2 linked regions of the Oryctolagus cuniculus genome follow. Each later gene encodes a partner of the first gene's protein in a complex. Links are inferred from orthologs where the notes say so. Each region holds a gene or a part of one and is shown on either strand. Other genes may lie near its edges. The genes, in order: APAF1 and CASP9.

The links.
Region 2: the proteins of APAF1 (region 1) and CASP9 are in contact, whole or in part, in a crystal structure (PDB 4RHW), measured with the Homo sapiens proteins. The link is inferred for Oryctolagus cuniculus from reciprocal best matches to the Homo sapiens genes APAF1 and CASP9. Residues at the interface, in NP_863651.1 of Homo sapiens: Thr22, Ser23, Tyr24, Met26, Asp27, Ile30, Ser31, Ile37, Glu40, Glu41, Arg44; in NP_001220.2 of Homo sapiens: Asp23, Trp26, Asp27, Leu30, Arg36, Pro37, His38, Glu41, Gln44, Arg45.

Annotation. Positions count from the first base shown.
Region 1 is NC_091442.1:101,568,859-101,573,432, reverse strand, and holds the start of APAF1 (apoptotic protease-activating factor 1), read right to left. Parts: upstream 3,061-4,574; 5' UTR 2,810-3,060; exon of another isoform or gene 2,388-2,809; intron 1-2,387. Other genes in the region: IKBIP (inhibitor of nuclear factor kappa-B kinase-interacting protein), read left to right, coding at 3,406-3,581. UniProt on the Homo sapiens protein: Oligomeric Apaf-1 mediates the cytochrome c-dependent autocatalytic activation of pro-caspase-9 (Apaf-3), leading to the activation of caspase-3 and apoptosis. This activation requires ATP. Isoform 6 is less effective in inducing apoptosis.
Region 2 is NC_091438.1:154,083,121-154,086,924, reverse strand, and holds part of CASP9 (caspase-9), read right to left. Parts: intron 2,375-3,804; coding exon 2,014-2,374; intron 1-2,013. UniProt on the Homo sapiens protein: Involved in the activation cascade of caspases responsible for apoptosis execution. Binding of caspase-9 to Apaf-1 leads to activation of the protease which then cleaves and activates effector caspases caspase-3 (CASP3) or caspase-7 (CASP7).

The sequences.
Region 1 (4,574 bases):
CAGATGGAAGATCTCTTGCACGTGCTTGCTTATTCAGTCATTCTGCCTTTCAAACAAATAAAAATAAATACAATTTAAAAAACTATACTACATTGGGGCCAGCACTGTGGCGTAGTAGGTTAAGCCTCTGCTGCCACCCAGCATCCAATATAGGTGCCGATTCATGTCCTGGCTGCTCCTCTTCTGATCCAGCTCTCCGCTTATGGCCTGGGAAAGCAGTAGAGGATGGCCCAAGTCCTTGGGCCCCTGCACCATGGGAGACCCAGACAAAGCTCCTGGCTCCTGACCGGATCGGCCCAGCTCCAGCCATTGTGGCCATTTGGGGAGTGAACCAGCAGATGAAGATTGCTCTCCGTCTCTCTCTCTGTAACTCTGCCTCTCAAATAAACAAATCTTTTTTAAAAAAGTATGCTACATAATGAAACATTAAATAAATAATATTTATAATATATAGCCATTTAAAATTATAAATGCGCTAAATATTTAAAATTATACATGCACTGAATATAAAGATGCTCATGACACATTGATTGAAAAATAAAAATATGATCCTATAAATAACAAGAAAATGTATTGGTACAGAAAAATATAGGAAGAAGCTTAGAATTTTATTCATCAAAATGTTTAGACTACTTCTGAGGAGCAAGATTTGGAGCCACACTCTTTTCTTCTCTCTACTGTCTTAATTTTTTCAATACACATTACCTTTTTTTTTAAAGATTTACTTTATTTTTTGAAAGTCACACAGAGTTACAGAGAGAGGTAGAGACACACAGAGAAAGAGAGATCTTCCATCTGCTGGTTCACTCCCCCAATGGTTGAGGACAACTGGGGCTGGCCAAGCCAGGAGCCAGGAGCCAGGAGCCAGGAGCCAGGATCCTCTTCCAGGTCTCCCCCGTGGGCACAGAGGCCCAAGCACTTGGGCCATCCTCCGCTGCTTTCCCAGGCACATTAGCAGGGAGTTGCATCGGAAGTGGAATGGCCAGGACTCAAATTGGCACCCACACAGGATGTGGGCACTGCAGGCCAGGTCTTTAACCTGCTGCGCTACAGCGCTTGCCCCCACATCACCATTTTTAACAATAAAAATATTCCTACTATAAATTAGCATTTTATAAAATAGAGGTGGGCATTTGGTAGAGCAGCTAAGAGGATACTTGGGAAGCCCACATCCCATAGCCGTGCCCAGGATTCAGTCCCAGCTCTGCTAGTGATTCAGCTTCCTGCTAATGTACACCCGGGAGGCAGCAGGTGAAGACTCAAGTACTTGGATTCCTCAAGAACTTTGGTCCTTGGAAAACCCTGACTGAGCTCCTGGCTTCGGCCTGGCACAGTCCCAACTGCTGCAGGCATTTGGGGAGTGAACCACAAGATGGCCTCTCTCTCTCTCTCTCTCTCTCTCTCTCTCTCTGCATTTACAAATAAAATAAACACATTCACATGGACCTTAAAAATTAATTTAAAAAATAGTGATCATATTGAAGTCCTAATGTTTCAAACTTCCTATTTTCTTTATCCAACATAAAACCAAACAGAGCATTGTTGGTACTGAATACCGATTCTTGAAGCAGATTTCTTGAATTAAGAAAGAACAATATTCTTTGCAGTAAATACTTTAAGTTTCTACCAATTTTATGTCAAGTAGAACATGAAGTTTTCCATGAGTATAAAACTCAATTCAGACTGTTTCTAGAAGAATTCACAACACAGAAGAAAAGAAAACGAGAGCAAATAATTAGAAAGTTTATGTCCTAAGTGCAAAACCGGAATTAAGCACAAGTAATTTAGAGCACACAGAAAAGGGGCAATAATCATCAAGCTTCAATGATGACCATAATCTTTAAAAGTCACCAACTGTAGCACTTGCAAAATTAAGGAAGTAGGGCATTTGTCTGTGTTGTCCAAGATCACAAAACGCCCAGGACCACCATGAAACTTAACTGACAGATACGATGAGAATCAAGGCCTTCATATCTTCAAACAACGTTTCTACTTTCTTAATTTAAACAAGAAAATTCCTCTATTCATTGCAATGGACTTGACAAAACAAAAACGAAATTTTTCACTTTAGTGTCTAGGCAAACAGTCGCTTGTTAGGCTTGCTGCGACTAATTCCCAATTCCACCTATCCATATTACACTTAAATTTTGTACACCGTACACTTGCCCCAAGTGAAATATTCTGTCCCACCCGTTACAATCACATCAAAATGGAAAGCCAAAACTTTTCACTGACATAAAATACAAAGTCGAGAGCAAATTCATCCAGGAACCCTGTAGCTTACTACTTCCTCATTAGATAATTTCTCTTCCTGCTAAGGAAGATAAAGGATTACTAAAGATCTCATTGTCCCCTAACCCTCAGACCCTGAAATCTGCTAAAATTACCTGGCTCAGAACATCGAGCAGGTCAACTTACGCAAACCTTTGATCAGAGATCTCATCGCGGGTGCGGCCAGTGGCAGTGGGGCTTCCCACCGGGAACGCAAGAAGCGGGGCACAAGCTGTCCACGTCCCCAACGCCCCAAGGAACATCAGCCGCGCAGGTGCCTCACCTGGGCCTTCGCAACCCCGAGCGCAGGAAAACCCGCGGGGCGGACCCCGCCCCGGGACACAAAGGGAGGAGGGCCAGCCGAGCTGCCGCTCTTTCCCTCGGGCGGCAGCTGCACCCGGGAGAGCCCGACACCACTCTGGACGCCACTACGGCTACTTCAAGCCCCACGCGGGTCGCCGACGGCCCGGCCTCCCCGCCTCCGGCTCCCTCAGCCCTTCTTTCTGCCCCAGGACACGCACTTCACACCAATCGTTACCTCCTCCTGCCTCAGGACCGACCAGCAGTCAAACACCCGCCGGGCCCGCCCCGCTGGATCAGCGCGCCCCCGCGCATGCAAATAAACACGCCGCTAGTCCCTCGAGGCGGCTGCCGCCGCGCGCGCCCCCGCCCGGCTTGTGCCCGGGCGCGTACGGGGAGGTGCACGCGCACGTAGGGAAGCGCGCCCCACACTCTACGTGGGGAGGCGTGACTAAGCCACAGGGGCGCGCCGCGTTGCTACCCAGAGCCGACCTAGACGGCGACGGCGGCCGTGCCGTTGACGTGGCGCGCGCGGCCCCGCCCGGCTCCACGCCCTCGGGTCCCTGCGCGCGCCCAGGAGCTGGGGTTCCTCTGGTCAGCCGCGGTGACGCCGAGGAAGGGGGAGGTGGGGCTCCGCCTCAGCAGAGGGAGCTGGGAGGCGGGAGTCTGGGAGACTGTGGAGCTGCAGGATGGCTGGGAGAGAAAAGGGACTGGATTCTGGGCGGCGCCAAGGCTGTGCGGGGGCGCGCTCACCGCCGGCGAGGCAAAGGCGGCCAAGTCCTGCTCCCCCCGGCTGAAGAAGCCGCCCCGGGTGTGTCCTCTGGGCCTCCAGACATGTCCGAGGTGAAGAACAGGAAGAAATCTGGGCCCAAGGGAGCCCTCGCGGACCCCGGCAAGCGGAGCGAGGGCGGCCAAAGCTCAGAGGCCCAGGGCGGCCGAGGCGGGGGCTGGGCAGACCCCCGGACGGGCCTGAGCCTCCTGTCGCTGGGGACGTGCCTGGGCCTGGCCTGGTAAGTGGACGCGGAGCCACCCGGGCCGTGTCCGGCCTCCTGTGGTCGCCCTGCTCATCGGAGTCCAGCCCCTGATCCTTCCACCAGACCGGGCATCCCCCTAACCTCCAGCCCCCATGCTGGCGGCTGCTGGTCCCCCAGCCGCGACCCCCGGGGCCGTGCCTCTGAGGTCTGCAGATTAAGGACAAACCTCGTTAGGCGCCTGATCTTTGACGTTGCTGTAAACCGTTACTCGTGGGCGCTGGGTGCCGGTCACATTTGCCCCATAGATGCCTAATGGGAACTTTGTAACCTTTAGATTTCATTATCTCAAAGCAGCAGTGTTAGCTGATTCCAGAGTTGGAAGGATTTCTCCTATTTCGATCAACGTGCATGCGTTGTGAATTTAAAGTCTTCCTAAATTACAGGTTAAACTTCTGTATGCATTGTAAAACTACAAAAACAGAGCGCTTGTGTTTACTTGAGACTAAATATATAGCCTTACACCCAACACAGTTGTTGTTAGGAAAAATTAACATTGGAAACAACCATGGGAAGCTATTTATTTTACTTAACCTATTTTCTTTAGGAATAATCTAACTCATTTTAATAGCAAGACTGACACGGTACGATTAATAGAGTTTACCTTTCTTCATCAATTTGTAAGATATTTAGGAACAGTTGTTACTCTTCCAGAGACCCTGAAGTTCCTCTAATCTAAAACATTTTTGATGCTAGCACATTTTGAATCATACTTTACTGGTGACTCATCCCAGGTCGTGTATTTCTTGAAGTTCATAAAAAATTTGTTAAAATAAAGTGAAATGTTGATTATTATACGTTCTTTTTCTTAAAAAAAAGTATGTTTTACTCAGGTGATACTTGTTTATGTAATTAGGTGTACTGGATTTACTGTTTAAATAAACTGCTCTTACACCTTCAAGTGCCTCACCTTCTTTAGATGAATTTTTTTTTTTTTTTTTTGACAGGCAGAGTGGACAGTGAGAGAGAGAG
Region 2 (3,804 bases), on another chromosome or scaffold:
TGGCACTGTGGCACAGCAGGTTAGGCCATGGCCTACAATGCCAGAATCCCATATGAGCACTGGTTCAAGTCTTCGCTGCTTCACTTCTGATCCAGCTCCCTGCTAATATGCCTGGGAAAACAGAAGAGGATGGCCCAAGTATTTGGACCCTGCCATCCACATGGGAGGCCTTGAGAGAGAGCTGGGAGATTGATTAGATCATTTATGTAAGCGCTTTGAACATCCCTAACCCAAAAACCCAAAACTCACTGACGTGACACCGGAGCGGTAATTTCACACCTGACTTCCCGCAACGGATCACTATCAAAATGTAACCACACTAATGACACTGTATAAAATTATCTTCATGGGGCCAGTGCTGTGGCATAGTGAGCTAAGCCCCCGTCTGCAGTGCCGGCATCCCATATGGGCACCAGTTTATGTCCCGGTTATTCCTCTTCCGATCCAGCTCTCTGCTTATAGCCTGGTAAAGCAGTAGAAGAAGGCCCAAGTGCTTGGGCCCCTGCACCTGTGTTGGAGACCTGGAAGAAGCTCCTGGCTTCGGACTGGCCCAGTTCCAGCCATTGCAGCCACTTGGGGAACAAACCAGTGGATAGAAGACCTTTCTGTCTGTCTCTCCCCTTCGTTGTAACTCTGCCTCTAAAATAAATAAATAAAATTAAAAAAAAAATACCTTCAGACTATGTGGCATTTATGAAAATATGAATGAATTTCATGTTTATTTGGGCCCCATTCCCAAGACATCCCATTTTGTCTAAAAATAAAATAAAATGAGAAATTTGAAACAGTTCCAGTCCCAGCAGTTCAGACAAGGGCTGCTCAATCTGCAGTAGATACTCAGTACTGCTAACCACTACCCCTGCTAGTACCGCACGACGGCCCACTGGGCAACCAGGAAACGAGCAGCCCCAGATCTCCCCGCGCTGCCAAGGAAGCCAAGTGCTACTGACAACCACCCAGGTCCATCAGCAGAACAGTATCCAGAACAGGAACCCCACCACCACCTAGCAGTGAAAAAGAATGGACACCCACTATGCACAACAACGTGGACGCGTGCCCCAGAGCAAGGATGGGCGGAAGCAGCCAGACTCTGGAGTGCACATGGCAGCACTTCATTCCTTCGGAAGTTCAAGGAGACAGAGACGGGAACAGTGACTCCCTTGGGTGCGGGGAGTGGGAACAGACTAGGAGGAAGAGCTGTGGAGGACACTGGGATGACCCAGGTGTTGCTGACCTGGGAGTGCCCGTCGGTTAAAATCATCCAACTCTGCTCTCGGGACTCATGCATTTTGCCGGATGTGGCCTTGTGACCTTAAGTAACTGACTTCCGCCTCCTAAGCCCCGGTTTGCTGCCCGACAAGGGAGGCGGGCAGGGGGATGTACTCTGCAGGTGCACACAGGGAGCAGACTCTGAGCTGAGGCCTCCCTCCTGCCCCAGGCACGGGCTGTGGTGGAATGAGAAGGCCGTGTCAAGATGGTGCTGGCTAGCAAGTGTCAGTTACTCAGGAAATGGCTTCGGAACCCACCTGGCAATGGAGCCTGCCTGGCAATAGACAGTGATTGGTTAGGACATAAACCGCCCCTTGACCGGATTGGCTGCCTCAGCTGCATAAGCTGCTGCACCAACTGAAATAAATGAGTCTGCGGGTTGCTTGCCTCTGGCCCACTCCCGGGGTCTGTGTGGTGACTTCATGCCTCTTGTCCCCACCGCTTCACCTCTCAGAACGAATCCACAGCAACAACAGGCCACTCCAAGCTATCCAGAGGCCAATCCTGCACAACAGCTGGATCTAGAAACACTGGCAAAAACCTGGGACACCCAAAACAGACCTGGGCGCATGCTTTTCTGAGGAGGGGCTGCCAAAGTTACCGCTCCTGATGACTTACCAGAATGTTCCACCCATCTCCCACATAATGTTCCATAAGACAATAGCAAAATTAAATTCTGAACCCCAGCCCACCCAGCTGTACCAGCAGTCACACCCAACCAACAAACACTCCATCGATACTCACAGACATCACGGAATCCTCCAGAACTGGAGTCCACCGGCCTGAGAACCTCTGGCCTGAGCTTGGCTGGCCATAGCTCCTCAGGCCCCAGCACCACCGGGGAGAGGTTTCCCAGGGCCGCCTGCGAAGTCACCGCTGTCGGCTTCTCTGGTTGGAGGCCCACTGGTCCCAGCACAAAGGGTGTCAGCGGCAGAGGTCTGATGGCCTCGGGGTCCCGTTCCTGCCTACTGGCTCGCAGGAAAGAAGCCAGTGTGTGCTGGCCAGTGTCCTCCAGGCAGGAGATGAACAAAGGAAGGGCCTGCCTCCCTCGGGTCTCCAGATCTATGACCAGCTGCCTGGCCTGATCCCGGCGAGTCCCCGCGTGCTGTTTGGAAAGAAAGACAAGACGCAGTCACCCACTTAGTGCCACCTGCTTCTCTCCTTGTCGCCCCATTTCCCATCTGGGACACATGGGTAGAAACAGAGCCTAGGGTACCCTGAGCGAGGGACCCGCCCCAGCCTCTGCTCTGTTTCAGAGGCATCTACCGCGTGCCCAACACTGTGCTAAATGCTAAAGACGGCAGGGCAAGGTCTCAGTCCTGAAAAGCCAGTGTTTAGCGCGGGTGTAGACAAATCAGCAAGGACACAGCAAGGAGACAAGGGCCAGGAAGGAAAATGCTCAGTGCCAACGGACTTGGCCGGGGCAGTCAGGCAAGCCCCCACCACCGCCACCACCAAGGGGACCCCAAGGAACACCAGGAAGCAAATAATGACTCAAAGAAAGGGAGGCGGGCCGCGGAGAGGGAGAGGCCTTGGCGTGGCCATGCTAAGAAATGCATCCTCGGAGCTGTGAGGAGCTACGGCAAAGCAGTGGGTTTCAGAACTGTGAAAACTGCACAGTTTCCTCACCGTATGCATTTTCCATGACCTTTCTGAAGACCTCTCATGTGCTTGGATTTCAATTTTATTTTTTGCACCAAAATAAACGTATCTTTTAGTTCCACTTTCCATGAACTTTTAAGGTCCCCTCATATAAAGAGGTTGACTCGACATGACGTAGACACTGGGTGGACAGAAGAGGGGGCAGTGGTCAAGGCTGCCTGACAGTGTCAGGGGCAGGGCCACTAGGTCAGGCAGCAGGAGGAAGATGCTGATTTCTTGCTGCCTGTCCTTGGGGACCCAGCACTGGACAAGGGCCTCAGGATCCACAGAGACAAGACACCACCTTGTCCCCAAATATCCTACAGTAGTACTAACAGAACTGTCCATGATGGTGGTAATGGTTTGCATCTGTGCTATCCAACATGGCAGCCAGTAGTCACACATGGCCACTGAGCACTTGGGGAGTCTGAGTACTAACTGAATTTTTTATTTTTTTAATATTTATTATTTATTTGAAAGGCAGAGTTACAGAGAGGGAGTGAGAGAGGTCTTCCATCCACTGGTTCACTCTCCACATGGCTGCAATGGCCAGGGCTGAGCCAGACCAAACCCAGGAGCCAGAAGCTTCTTCTGGGTATCCCACGTAGGCCATCCTTTGCTGCTTTCCCAGGCGCATTAGCAGGGAGGTGGATCCAAAGTGGACCATGGGGCCAGTGCTATGGCACAATGGGTTAAAGCCCTAGCCTGCAGCACCGGCATCCCACATGGGTGCCAGTTCAAATCCCGGCTGCTGCTCCTCTTCTGATCCAGCTCTCTGCTATGGCCTGGGAAAGCAGTAGAAGATGATCCAAGTCCTTGGGCCCCTGCATCCACATGGGAGACCTGGAAGAAGCTCCCAGCTCCTGGCTTCAGATTAGCTCAGCTCTGACCATT